Mus musculus: one gene and its partners. Each later gene encodes a partner of the first gene's protein in a complex. Links are inferred from orthologs where the notes say so. Each region holds a gene or a part of one and is shown in the gene's direction. Other genes may lie near its edges. The genes, in order: Timm22, Timm10 and Timm10b.

Region 1 (4,247 bases):
CTAATGACTGGGCAGTGATGGGAGGTAACAAAACTTCCTTGGCAGTGAGCATGAAAGCAAAGGGATGGACTCAAAAGACAGGTGTGTATAAGCAAGAAGAGAGTGATTCACCCAGCCAGGAAACAGGAAGTGCAGGTGTGTGTGTGTGTGTGTGTGTGTGTGTGTGTGTGTGTGTGTGTGTGTGTGAAAGAAGTTCTAACTTCACCTGTAGCTCCTAGTTACTCTCTGCTGTTGGAGGACATTAATCAAAGCCCCTTAATTGCAAAGTCATCTGTCCAGGATCTGGAGAAATGGATCAGGAGTTGAGAGGGCTGGCTGTTTTCCAGAGTTCCTGGGTTCAATTCTCAGCACCTATATGATGGCTCACAGCCATCTGTTAACTCCAGTCCCAGGAGATCTAATGCCATTTGCTGGCCTCCCAGGTACTACGTGTACTCGGTCCACAGACATACATTCAGGTAAAGACTCGTTTGAATTAATTTAAAATAAATAAAATCTAAAAATAAAGTCACTTGTCCAGTACCCACTGTGTACAACAAACCGGTCAGCTAAGCAGTATCTGTTGGCACATACCTTCTACCAGCCATAGGGCTGTGACGTTTTTCCATTGTTAACCATAGTTGTATGCAACTAGTATGTATATAATACTCTATACTCAGCTTGCTCGCTCTCTCTCTCTCTCTCTCTCTCTCTCTCTCTCTCTCTCTCTTTTCTTAAGCATAGTTTCTCTGCGTAGCCATGGCTGCCCTGGAACTCACTCTATAGACCAGGCTGGCTTCAAACTCAAAGATCTGCCTGCCTCTGCCTAACTGATTTAACTGATTTAAGGCTTGCTAGACCACCACTCAGTTCATTTGTTGGCCTCCTTCTTTATTCCTTAAAGGCTTAATAACTATGTAATAAAATACATTTAGAACATATGTATGCCATGTTTCAACACTTACTTACAAAGCGCGTACATTCGATCTCAGAATACCAACCAGCCTGTGGTTCTAGTGAATCAGGTAGCTGCATCACTGCTGCATGGCTTAGAAACAAAGCAGACACGCGCGTCCCCTGCTGCAAGCTCAACGAACTGCAGCCTAACAGGAGCCCGACCGCTCTTCAGCGGCTTCTCAAGAGTTTTCAAAGGAAGTAGCATGTCCAGTGAGCACGCACGGCTTTCTGGGAAGTGTAGTCAGATGTTCGAGTTAGAACTACAAATCCCGGCACGCACCGCAATGGGGCCCCTAGTTGAGGGGTGTTCTTGAGATATTGAGTCTTGTCTGATTGCTTTTAGCAATGTCTTACAAACTTGGCAGCTGTTTAAAGAGGCGTTGAGGAAGCACGATAGCTCCCTCGACGCTGATGCATAGGCAGACTTTGCTTCTACACCTTCTTCAGTGTGGCGAATCTGCCGTTGTCGTCACTCTGGCTGGACGCCTAGGTAAGCGTGTGGAATCGGCTGTGGGAAATACGAAGTGAAAGGTACTAGAGCCCCTACGGTCATGGCGGCTACCGCCCCCAAGGCCGGGGGTTCAGCTCCTGAGGCAGCGGGTTCTGCCGAAGCTCCGTTGCAGTACAGCCTTCTTCTTCAGTACCTGGTGGGCGACAAGCGTCAGCCCCGGCTTCTGGAGCCTGGCAGCCTGGGCGGGATCCCGAGTCCTGCCAAGAGCGAGGAGCAGAAGATGATCGAGAGGGCAATGGAAAGTTGCGCCTTCAAGGCTGTGCTGGCCTGTGTAGGAGGTGAGACGAGGCTCGAGGGGCCCTTGGGATGCTGAGGGCTTGAAGAGCCTTAGGATTCCTTATCAAGACAACGCGTTTAGGAGGCAAGGAACCTGTAGGTGTCGACCTTGATTGCACCCGGACTTGCTCCTTGAACCCGGAGATGTCTCTCTTGACCCTGGGGTTAACAGTCAGGGTATGCAGGATCCTAAGTAGTTGCTTTCTGTCGTTCGTTTGTTTGTCATTTCATTCATTCATTCAACATGTTGTTACTATGTAACTGTCATGAGCGGACAGGAGCCCTGAAGGTCTAATATTAGGACCCAGAGAGAATGCTGTAGACACATAGGGAGTTGCAAAATTGTCCTTAAGGCAGAAGTTTGGAGCTTGGAAATTATTGCTGGGTGGTGGCGGCCCAGGCCACGGGGGTGGGGGTGGGGTGGGGGGAGGGGCTGAGACAGACAGGCAGACAGACAGAGCTACATAGAGACACCCTGTCTCAAAATAAAACAAAAAACAATGAAGACCAGTATGATTAGACAGACGGGGTGGGGCTGGGATAGACATTAACAACCCCCAACACACACACACACACACACACACATTCACATTTTGAGGATTTGAGAATGTACAGCATATTTAAAACAGACGGGGTGGGGCTGGGATAGACATTAACAACCCCCAACACACACACACACACACACACACACACACACACACACATTCACGTTTTGAGGATTTGAGAATGTACAGCATATTTAAAACGTGCAGGTGAAAAGGTTAGGTATATTTGTAGATGAATTCAAATTTCATTACAAATGAAAAACATTAGCCGGGCAGTGGTGGCACACGCCTTTAATCCCAGCACTTGGGAGGCAGAGGCAGGTGGATTTCTGAGTTCAAGGCCAGCCTGGTCTACAGAGTGAGTTCTAGGACAGCCAGGGCTACACAGAGAAACCCTGTCTGGAAAAACAAACAAACAAACAAACAAAGCAGGGAGGAAGAGGCAGTCAGATCTCAGAGTTCCAGGTCAGCCTAGTTTATATAGTGAATTCCAGGACAGCCCGGGCTCCATAATAGAGACACTAACTCAAAAAATCAAAATAAACAAGCAAGCCAAAAAAACCCCAAACAACCAAACAAAACAAAGTTTCAAAAAATGTAGTAGAAAGAGAGTTTGGGAGCTAGAGTGATTGGAAAGCAAGAAATTCTGGGAGAGGAGGTATCTGGCTTCCCTGAGCTGGTCTTGAGGTGATCATCCTAAGAAGGCATCATGTAGAAAAGGCTGGGGAGCAAGCTCAGTTGGTAAAGTGCTTGTCATGCAACCATGAAGGGCTAAGTTCAGTTCTCAGCATCTCTCCAAAAAAGCCAGGTTTGGCTGGGTGAGGTGACCGGGACCTCTAAGCCCAGCACTGAAGAGGAAGAGGCAGGGGAATGAATCTCTGAGTTTGAGGCCTGCCTAGGCGGTCTGCATATTGAGTTCCAGGACAGCCAGGGCTGTTACACAGAGAGACCCTGTCTTGAAAAACAAAAACAAAAACAAACAACAACAAAAAGAAATTGGTGTATAGTTCCTGAGGAATGACATCCCAGGATTGACCTCTGGCCTACACCCACATACACACAAAGAATTGTCCAAGGCTCAGCCAAGTCATTTGTCCACAGCAACATAAGACTCCACACTTAAGAGTCACGTGACTTTGAAGGCAGTTACTTAACCTCTCCAAGGTTTGGTTTAGAGAGGCCAGCTAGTTGGCACTTGAACACACCTTTAATCCCAGCACTTGGAAGGCAGAGACAGAGGTATCTCTTGATTTACCTGTTTTACAATAGCAAGTTCCAGACCCGCCAGTGTTACATAGTGAGGCCCTGTCTCAAACAAAAAAGCCAGAAAGGGGAGATAATAACATCTACCTCACAAGTTATTGTGAAAAATAAGGAGAACCCAGAATACCTGGTGCATGATGCTTACTGAGGGACTGTGAATGTTGTCACGGTCAAGGGATGATATACAACATTGGTAACTGAAAGCTGAAAGTCAGAAGAATGGACGGAGGAAGAAATGCTAGAGGAATTGGGGGGATAGACTCCGACTGTGTGCTGCAGGGGAGGCAGGATCGGGATTGAGACCAAGAGACCCGAAAGGCCATCTTCAGTTCTCATCCCAAAATGGTCATTCAGAGAATGTGCAAAAGAACTCTTCTCTCTGCTTGCCTCTAGGGTTTGTCTTGGGAGGCGCGTTTGGTATCTTTACTGCTGGCATTGATACCAACGTAGGCTTTGACCCAAAGGACCCTTACCGGACACCAACTGCAAAAGAAGTCCTGAAAGACATGGGACAGAGAGGAATGTCCTATGCCAAAAACTTTGCCATTGTGGGCGCCATGTTTTCATGTACTGAGTGTCTGGTAGAGTCTGTAAGTGCCTCTTGCATTTTAAGAAACCCCTTTCTGTTGCCACTGTACTCTTTTAAATTATCTTTTCTTTAAAAATCAGGTTAAAAACGTGTGTGTGTGTGTGTGTGTATGTGTGTGTGTATGAAT
Region 2 (4,099 bases), on another chromosome or scaffold:
TTATTTTCTGTATCTATGAGTACACTGTAGCTCTGACACACCAGAAGAGGCACTGGATTCCATTACAGATGGTTGTGAGTCACCTTGTGGTTGCTGGGAATTGAACTCAAGACCTCTGGAACAGCAGTCAGTACTCTTAGCCACTGAGCCATCTCTCCAGCCCAAGGACACATGTTCTTATAAATAAATTTAAATTTAAAAATAGTATATCAAATGACCTGTGTAGTTCAGTTGTGGAGGGTTTGCATGAGACCCTGGATTCAACCTTCAGCACTGTGGAAGAGAGATGAAAAAAACATCACTATTAGCTGAGAATGTGAAAATAGCACTTTGGGAAAAAGACTTCATCTGCTAAAGATAATAGATCAAGAAAATGTGACTAAATAGTAAGAATTATTAAATCTTGGGGATAGATTCAATGACGTTCATTAGACTGTGTTCTGTGTTGTGAATTTGCCCTAATAAAATTTTAAAGGGATAAACCCAATGCTTTTTATTATTACATTTATTTATTTACTTACTTTATTTATTGTGCATGTGTAGGGCTATAATAAAGAAGTGCAGTAAAACATGTTGCAGCACTGGGGCAGTTGATAGAGTGCTTGCCTAAGCATGTGGTCCTGTTTTCATCCCAACATTGCAAAAGTCAGGCATAATGGCGCTTATCTGTAGCCGAAGCACTAGTGAGGTGGAGGCAGGTTCGTAAGTTCTAGGTCATCTTCGGCTACACCGCAAATTAGAGAGCAGCCTAGGTTCCATGGGACCCTGCCTCAAAAGCAAATAAAGACAATCTCTATACATGTTTCTTTTTTTCTGCGAGCAGCGATCGTGTATCTTCTCTGCAACTCCACTAGTTAATGTTGCACACTGCTCCCCGGGATTCTGATTTCAGGGGTATGAGGTAACGTCTGGGCGCTGAGGTGTTTTTTTTTTTTTTTTTTTTTTTTTTTTAAAGTGCTCCAGGTGTTTTAACATGCAAAATTGACAGGCTCCTTTGGGAAACGTTCTCCTTTCTTCACATAAGATCCGTCTGCGCTCTGGCGTGGGCTCTCCATGGTGGGTTCAGGGAGCCAAGCTTCTTCCACACTGCAAACGCTCAGGCGTCTCCCGGACAACCGGAGGGATGGAATGCTAACAAGGCTGCCGGCGCTCTGCCACTCACTCAGCATTCTATGGTACTTTGGAGTCCACTCTAGCAAATTAAGGTCGGTTTCTCTATGGTAGCCGGTTTCCCAGCGCAGCCTGGTCGGCGTTTTCTTCCGGATCAAAGAAGAGGCTAGACTTCCTTCCGGAAGTGACCCACGTGCTTCTTATTTCGCCTGCCTTGGTACCCGGTAACTTTTTACTATTGACCCGAAGTTGGGGACGTTGCGGGAGCTGTGACCTGCCCCAGGCCGTGGTGAGTGGGCCGTGGTGTCTGATACCCAGGGTAACCCTGATTCCTGATTATGCCATTGCCGTGACAGAGGCTCAGCCTTTAGACCCACCCCGGGAACCTAGGCTGTGGTTAGGGTCACATTCTCGGGGCTGCATGGGTTCAGACCCACGGTTTTGTGTGTTCCGTCCCAACTGTCAATCCTCTGGCTCTAGGAGTGATCTCGAGGTACTAAGAGGGCTCGGTTTCCATCCCCGAGCCCCATGACATCGCGAGTGACCTTGAGCTGGACACTGTCCTCTTTAAGGGCCTCATCTCCACTTCTGTTAAGAGGGCTGATTACGTTTACTGAGCGGGGTATTGGTCCCCGCTGGTCTGAAACACTGTAATTCCTCGCGCCCTCCAGCCCCCCCGGGGGGGTGGTACTAGGGTGAACCGGGAGGGATCGATGCTGACTGATCATGTCCGCTCCTAGGACTAAAGACCAGGAGGCTATTCTCTCCACGGTGCTAAGTTGACATGGATCCGCTCAGAGCCCAGCAGCTGGCTGCGGAGCTGGAGGTGGAGATGATGGCTGACATGTACAACAGGTAAAGAGAAGCACTCGGCTTCACCTTGTCTAGGAAAACTCGCCCTAGTCACCCCTAGCCCGACAGAGTGAAGCACTTGTAACGAATGCTTTCGATAAGGTAGTGGAGCCAAGTCCCGCCCTCCTAATCCCGCCCCACCCTCACCGCGTGCTTCGCTGAAGTAAATACAGGTCACTGGAAGGACTTGGTTGGCTATTTGGAGGGAATAAAAGGGGTGTATGATGGAGAATCTCCTGCCCAGGCTCTGCTGAGTATCAAGAACATATAAGCACTTTCTCTTCTCTTCTCTTCTCTTCTCTTCTCTTCTCTTCTCTTCTCTTCTCTTCTCTTCTCTTCTCTTCTCTTCTCTTCTCTCCTCGTTTCCATCTTTCTTTCTCCTTAGATAGCCCATTTACCCTTGTTTATGTAGTTTATGTATTTTGTGTTTGTTTATGAATGCCAACATGCATGCCATAGCGCCACACATGTGGAGGTCAGAGGGCAGCTTAATAGGATCTCATCTTGGATTGAACTCAAATCTTCTGGTTTGGCAGCAAGTGCCTTTGCCGCCTAAGCCTTCTGAACAGCCATTTAGTAATGAATAGTATTTAGTTGCTAATATTTATTAATGTTTTTCTTCCTTTTTGGGGGGGATGGAGTGGATGTTGTTTTGTTCTTGTTTTTCACGATGGGGCTTCTCTGTGTTGCCTTGGTTGTCAGCTTAATCTGTATAGACCAGGCTGGCCTCACTCTCAGAGATCCACCTGTCTCATTCTCTTGGGTGCTGGGATTAAAGGTGTGCACACTCGGCCTAAATTATACTTTAACTCTGTGTTAGGCATTTGCAAAGCATTTTATATATATTATCACTTTAAATTTATTTATTTGTTTGTTTACTTGTTTTCTGTGTATGGATGTTTTGCTTGCATGCCCGCAGAGGCCAGTAGAGGGCATCATATCTCCAGGAACTGGAGTCAAAGATAGTTGTGGGCTACCGTGTGGGTGCTGGGAACCTAACCTAGGTCCTCTGCAAGAGCAGTCAGTTCTCTTAACCACTTTCCAGGCCCCCATTATCAGTTTTGTAAATAGTTAAAAATAATTCAAAGGGAGAAGGGGATATAATAACGTAGGATTTTTGTCTAGAATGCAGGATGCCCTTGGTTTGATCTTGACATGGTGCCTATAATTTCAGCAGTTAGAGGCCAGAGACTAAATAGTTCAGGATCATTCTTGGCTATATAGTGGGTTCAAAACCAGCCTGGGATAGATGAGACCAGTCTCAAAAGAAAGAAAGGGAAGAAAGAAAGAAAATCAGTGGGTTAATTTTATTAGTACTATTTTAACACAGGGGAATTGAGGTGTCAAGGGGTTTAATAATCTCAGGGGCTGTAGCTGGTCAGTAGCAATGTCAGGACCAGAACTTCAGCCTGACTTCAAACTACTGCTTGTAGCCGTTTGGAAACATCTTGCTGCACCATCAGCAGCTGAGTGTCTTTAGGCTGAATGTCATAACTGGTTACTCATCAGTAAAACTGACCTAAGAAGCACTGCTCCCTCCATAAAGACATTGCAATATTAAACTGAAAGCCTCTAGCATTAGCACATCATACAGGAACCAGCAGGTATCTGCTGGTTTTCGACAGCAGCTCTCGGTAGGTTTGTCTTGGAGACTACAAATTGGAATGGTTTTTAAAATACAGACTGCGCAGTCAGACTACCTAGCTTTGTGTGACCCTCAGCTCTTACTGAGCTGTGTCTTAATTTCCTCGTCTGTAAAGTGGGGATAGTGATTGTGCCTGCCCCAGTGGGTTACTGTGAGGGTTGCATGACAGAACCTGTATTAGCCCTTAGCGTGACGCCTGGCACACAGCCGGTGTTCAGCAAGTGCTTCCTCTTTAACTAGTCTTGTACATGACTCAAAGAAGAGTCTTAGTTGGAAAAGCGTTCCAAGGTGGTTGAAGTGAAAACTGGGGGTTCCCGCTGTTTTCTTGACGGAGGGAACGAGGCAAGAATCAATGCAGCAGGGTTGGGCTTGTTGAAGGTGCCTGGGATGCTCCAGGAAGTCACTGATACAACCTTGTTCTTCTCTAATCCCAGAATGACCAGTGCCTGCCACCGGAAGTGCGTGCCTCCCCACTACAAGGAGGCAGAGCTG
Region 3 (3,357 bases), on another chromosome or scaffold:
GTGGGGATGAGTCCGTCACCAGAGCCCCCATAGCCACCAGACACAATGCTAGTTTCATTGAGGTTGGGTCCTGACACCATCACCTGCTGGAGGTCCTATAGGTCAGAGAAGAGGGGGGCACCTCAGGAACACAGGGATGGATGAAACATTTTGGGGACGGAGACAGTGCATAGTAAAGTCTGTACAGAACCATAAAGAAGATTTGAAAAGTATGAAGGAGTTTAGTTAACTGAAGGCTACCGGGACAGGGGAAATTAAAGGTTTATAAGTCAGGAATGTATAACAAAACAATGAGAAGAATCAAACAGAAGCACCTGCTCCAGCCCATCGTCTTCAGGAAGCTGCCCAGCTTCGCCATTTCCGTGGATGGGAATCTCCATTGTGGCTGCCTTCCCTAGAATCCCGTCCGTCATGGCTAGGGAAGGGACTGGAGTCAAGGTCTCCACCCCAGCACGCTGTAAAGCCCAACACAGACAATTCTGGAAACTGGCCAGCACTCCAGAACAAGGAGGCCTTCCCTGTGTTCTCAGAGGTTTCAGGGGTTGTCTTTGGGCTTGGGTGTCCTGGGATCAGCCACCACGGCTTTCCTTGAGTTTGTGTGTTTCTTCTCTTCTGAGGACATTATCTCTACAGATGCATGCATACCAAAGCCTCGGGTGTCTTCTCATAACCCCCCTACCTCGCCTTCAGTAACCATTCATGCATTCAGTCATTCAACAACTATCTAGTGAGTGTCTATTATGAGTGAGATACTGAGGCAATGGGATTATAGCAGTGAGGACCAGAGGGGAGGTCTATGCTCTCTGGGAACTTAACCCTGCAGAGGCAATGTTTACCAGAACCCTTTCCTAGGCTCAGACTCTCACTTGCCACTCAGGCATGCTCTACAATCCTGGTCTTTCACATTCTTTGGTGTTCCTTCCCCTCTTCCTTCAGCCGGTCTGGGCTCTTCCTTTCTCCATCTCATGCACCTGACTCCCTTAGGCCCTCCCCAGCAGGCCTTGGTTGAAGCAGTTAGTGAATGTTCCTGGTGTCAGGTGAAAGGCTCTCTTTCCCAGGACACGGGCAATCCCTTCCAAAGTCAGCTGAAGCCTCCCAGATGTGAGGGGCTCCCCCCACCCCCATACACCTGGGCATCAGGTGTGTCCTCATCCTTGCCAAGGGCTCAGGGCATTTTGCCCTCAGTACAGGTTCGTGCGTTCAACTTCCCTTCGTCCAAGTATGTCCTTCTCACCTGGGCCGGGCCGCTCTTCCCCTCAGGGCGCGAGGCCCGGACCGCGCGGGGACCTCGGGTTCCAGTTCTCGTCGCGATCCTAGCAGCAGGTCAGAGATTTGGCGGAAGTGACATGCTCTCTGGGCAGAAGAAGCCGGCCACGTCGCAGAGAAAAAGGGCGGAAGTGACGTTTGCAGTTGTGGGCAGGACGAGCCTGGAGCTACGCCTTCAAGCTCTTGGGGAGTAGTGAGAGTTTACTTCCGGGGCGACTCTGAGAGCTCTAACCTCCCCCCTCCGCCCCCCCAACCCCGCGCCACCCTGCCACCCCGCCACGGGCGGAAGTGACTAGGGCTGTGCGCCCTTGGCGTGATGGAGCAGCAGCAGCAGCAACTGAGAAACGTGAGTGAGAGCGCAGTTGCTCTCTGGGTTAGACGTGCAGTTTGTTTCCAGGGGTACACGCAAGAACCCGAGGGGGAGACGGGCTGTGCATCCCGGGGAGCCTTAGCGGTGGTGAAGTCGTGGTTCCCTTTTCTCTCAGTTGCGAGACTTCCTGTTGGTCTACAATCGGATGACAGAACTGTGTTTCCAGCGCTGTGTGCCCAGCCTGCACCACCGAGCTCTGGACGCTGAGGAGGTGGAGACAGTGTGGGGGTCCCAGAGTTGACAACGTGACGTGACACCCTCCCCCAGCCCCCCATCTTCTCCCTCTTTCTTGACCTCACTCCTAGGCTGGGGACCGGGAAGGAAGGAGGCGGGCTTGACTGGACCCCTTTTAGTTTCTACTTCCCTCCGTCTTCCTTCCAGGAGGCCTGCCTGCACAGCTGTGCTGGGAAACTCATCCATTCTAACCACCGCCTCATGGCCGCTTACGTGCACCTCATGCCCGCCCTGGTCCAGCGCCGCATCGCGGACTACGAGGCTGCCTCGGCCGCGCCAGGTATTCCTGCAGAACAGACCAGAGACTCGCCATCAGGCAGCTAGCCGTCCCTGGCCCCTGGAGAGAAGGTGCTTGGATGGGCTCCTCTATGGACCTTGGGCTTATCTAAATGTGTACAGAGAGATTGAGCTTGAAAGCTGGGTGCTGTTGCTCCTTTTCTTGGAGCCAATAAACCCGTTTTTACAGTCTGGTTATTTGTCTATGGGTACCAGCCTTTATTCTGTCATCTAGTGCATGTGTACTGCCTTTAGCCCTGGAGGTTGATGTAGTGCCTTCTTATGTGTAGAAGGACAAATTCAGCATTCCCAGCACCCCAGCAAAAGCAGGGATTATGGGTAGAGCTTTAAGGTTAGTAATAGCAATGGGAAATTGGTTCCAAAAGGAGAGCTCTCAGTGGCTGTCCTTGGGACTAACTCAAGGACCTGAATATACATTGACTCATAACTAGTTTTTATTTTCAGCTGTCAAAAAGAATTGCTGTGAACCTAGGGGAAGAAGGTAAAACCAAACAACAAAAGCAGGAAGAAAACTCTACCCCCTTAGGCTTTAGCCACTGCTTCCTAGGAGGTCAGTGACAACAGAACAAAGACAAGCCTCTAAGAATTCAGGAATGTTGACCATTTCCCCAATTTACTCTCTTAGTACTTCCTGCCTTTGTGAAATTAGCAATAAAGACTTTAAACAAAGAAGTGCTTTCTTGTCTTCAGAGTCAGTCAGGAAGGCAGCATTGGTCAAACCTCAGGAAGAGAACTCGAGGGAGAGGGAGATGGTGTTAGGGAGGGATGGTTAAATGCCATCTGTGCCCCTCCTCTTCGGGTTTGACTGCTTGTCTAATCTAGTTTCAGCTCTCTACCCTGTGCCTTACACTAGTCTCACTGTAACTGCTCTGATGCCAGCTTCTCTATTCTTGTTTCATTACTCCCCACCCCCTCTTGTGGGATTCACATGTGTATTCAGGAGGAGTCCTTTCCTGGCAGCTGCCGGTTCTGTGACTTCATTCCTAGTGTGGAGATGGGGAAGGAAGGAGGATGTGGCATGTACCACCTTGTGGGGCTTCAAGGATGACAGCCTGCAGGGCAAGCGACAGCATGGGGTCTGCATTTATTACTGTTTTACAGGAGATGGAGCACAAGTACTTGTGCTTGCCAGGCAAGAACTTTTTTTTTTTTTTTTTTTTTAATGTCAGGCTATAAACCATTCTTAGTGC

The links.
Region 2: the proteins of Timm22 (region 1) and Timm10 are in contact, whole or in part, in a cryo-EM structure (PDB 7CGP), measured with the Homo sapiens proteins. The link is inferred for Mus musculus from reciprocal best matches to the Homo sapiens genes TIMM22 and TIMM10. Residues at the interface, in NP_037469.2 of Homo sapiens: Tyr25, Ser26, Leu28, Leu29, Gln30, Tyr31, Leu32, Val33, Arg40, Leu42, Leu47, Gly48, Glu67, Glu144, Ser145, Tyr146, Gly148, Ser150; in NP_036588.1 of Homo sapiens: Pro3, Ala6, Gln7, Leu9, Ala10, Ala11, Leu13, Glu14, Val15, Met17, Met18, Ala19, Tyr22, Ser44, Lys45, Gly46, Glu47, Arg53, His62, Glu63, Gly66, Leu69, Thr70, Ser73, Met74.
Region 3: Timm22 (region 1) and Timm10b share a complex: the UniProt entries of both Homo sapiens proteins name them as parts of the TIM22 complex. The link is inferred for Mus musculus from reciprocal best matches to the Homo sapiens genes TIMM22 and TIMM10B.

Annotation. Positions count from the first base shown.
Region 1 is NC_000077.6:76,405,718-76,409,964, forward strand, and holds the start of Timm22 (mitochondrial import inner membrane translocase subunit Tim22), read left to right. Parts: upstream 1-1,426; 5' UTR 1,427-1,487; coding exon 1,488-1,725; intron 1,726-3,924; coding exon 3,925-4,121; intron 4,122-4,247. UniProt on the Homo sapiens protein: Essential core component of the TIM22 complex, a complex that mediates the import and insertion of multi-pass transmembrane proteins into the mitochondrial inner membrane. In the TIM22 complex, it constitutes the voltage-activated and signal-gated channel.
Region 2 is NC_000068.7:84,825,749-84,829,847, forward strand, and holds the start of Timm10 (mitochondrial import inner membrane translocase subunit Tim10), read left to right. Parts: upstream 1-1,272; 5' UTR 1,273-1,399; intron 1,400-1,850; 5' UTR 1,851-1,894; coding exon 1,895-1,965; intron 1,966-4,041; coding exon 4,042-4,099.
Region 3 is NC_000073.6:105,639,011-105,642,367, forward strand, and holds Timm10b (mitochondrial import inner membrane translocase subunit Tim10 B), read left to right. Parts: upstream 1-1,434; 5' UTR 1,435-1,582; coding exon 1,583-1,612; exon of another isoform or gene 1,613-1,665; intron 1,666-1,751; coding exon 1,752-1,847; coding exon of another isoform or gene 1,848-1,858; intron 1,859-2,017; coding exon 2,018-2,194; coding exon of another isoform or gene 2,195-2,218; 3' UTR 2,219-2,611; coding exon of another isoform or gene 2,612-2,652; 3' UTR 2,653-2,836; downstream 2,837-3,357. Other genes in the region: Arfip2 (arfaptin-2), read right to left, coding at 1-95, 315-413. UniProt on the Homo sapiens protein: Component of the TIM22 complex, a complex that mediates the import and insertion of multi-pass transmembrane proteins into the mitochondrial inner membrane.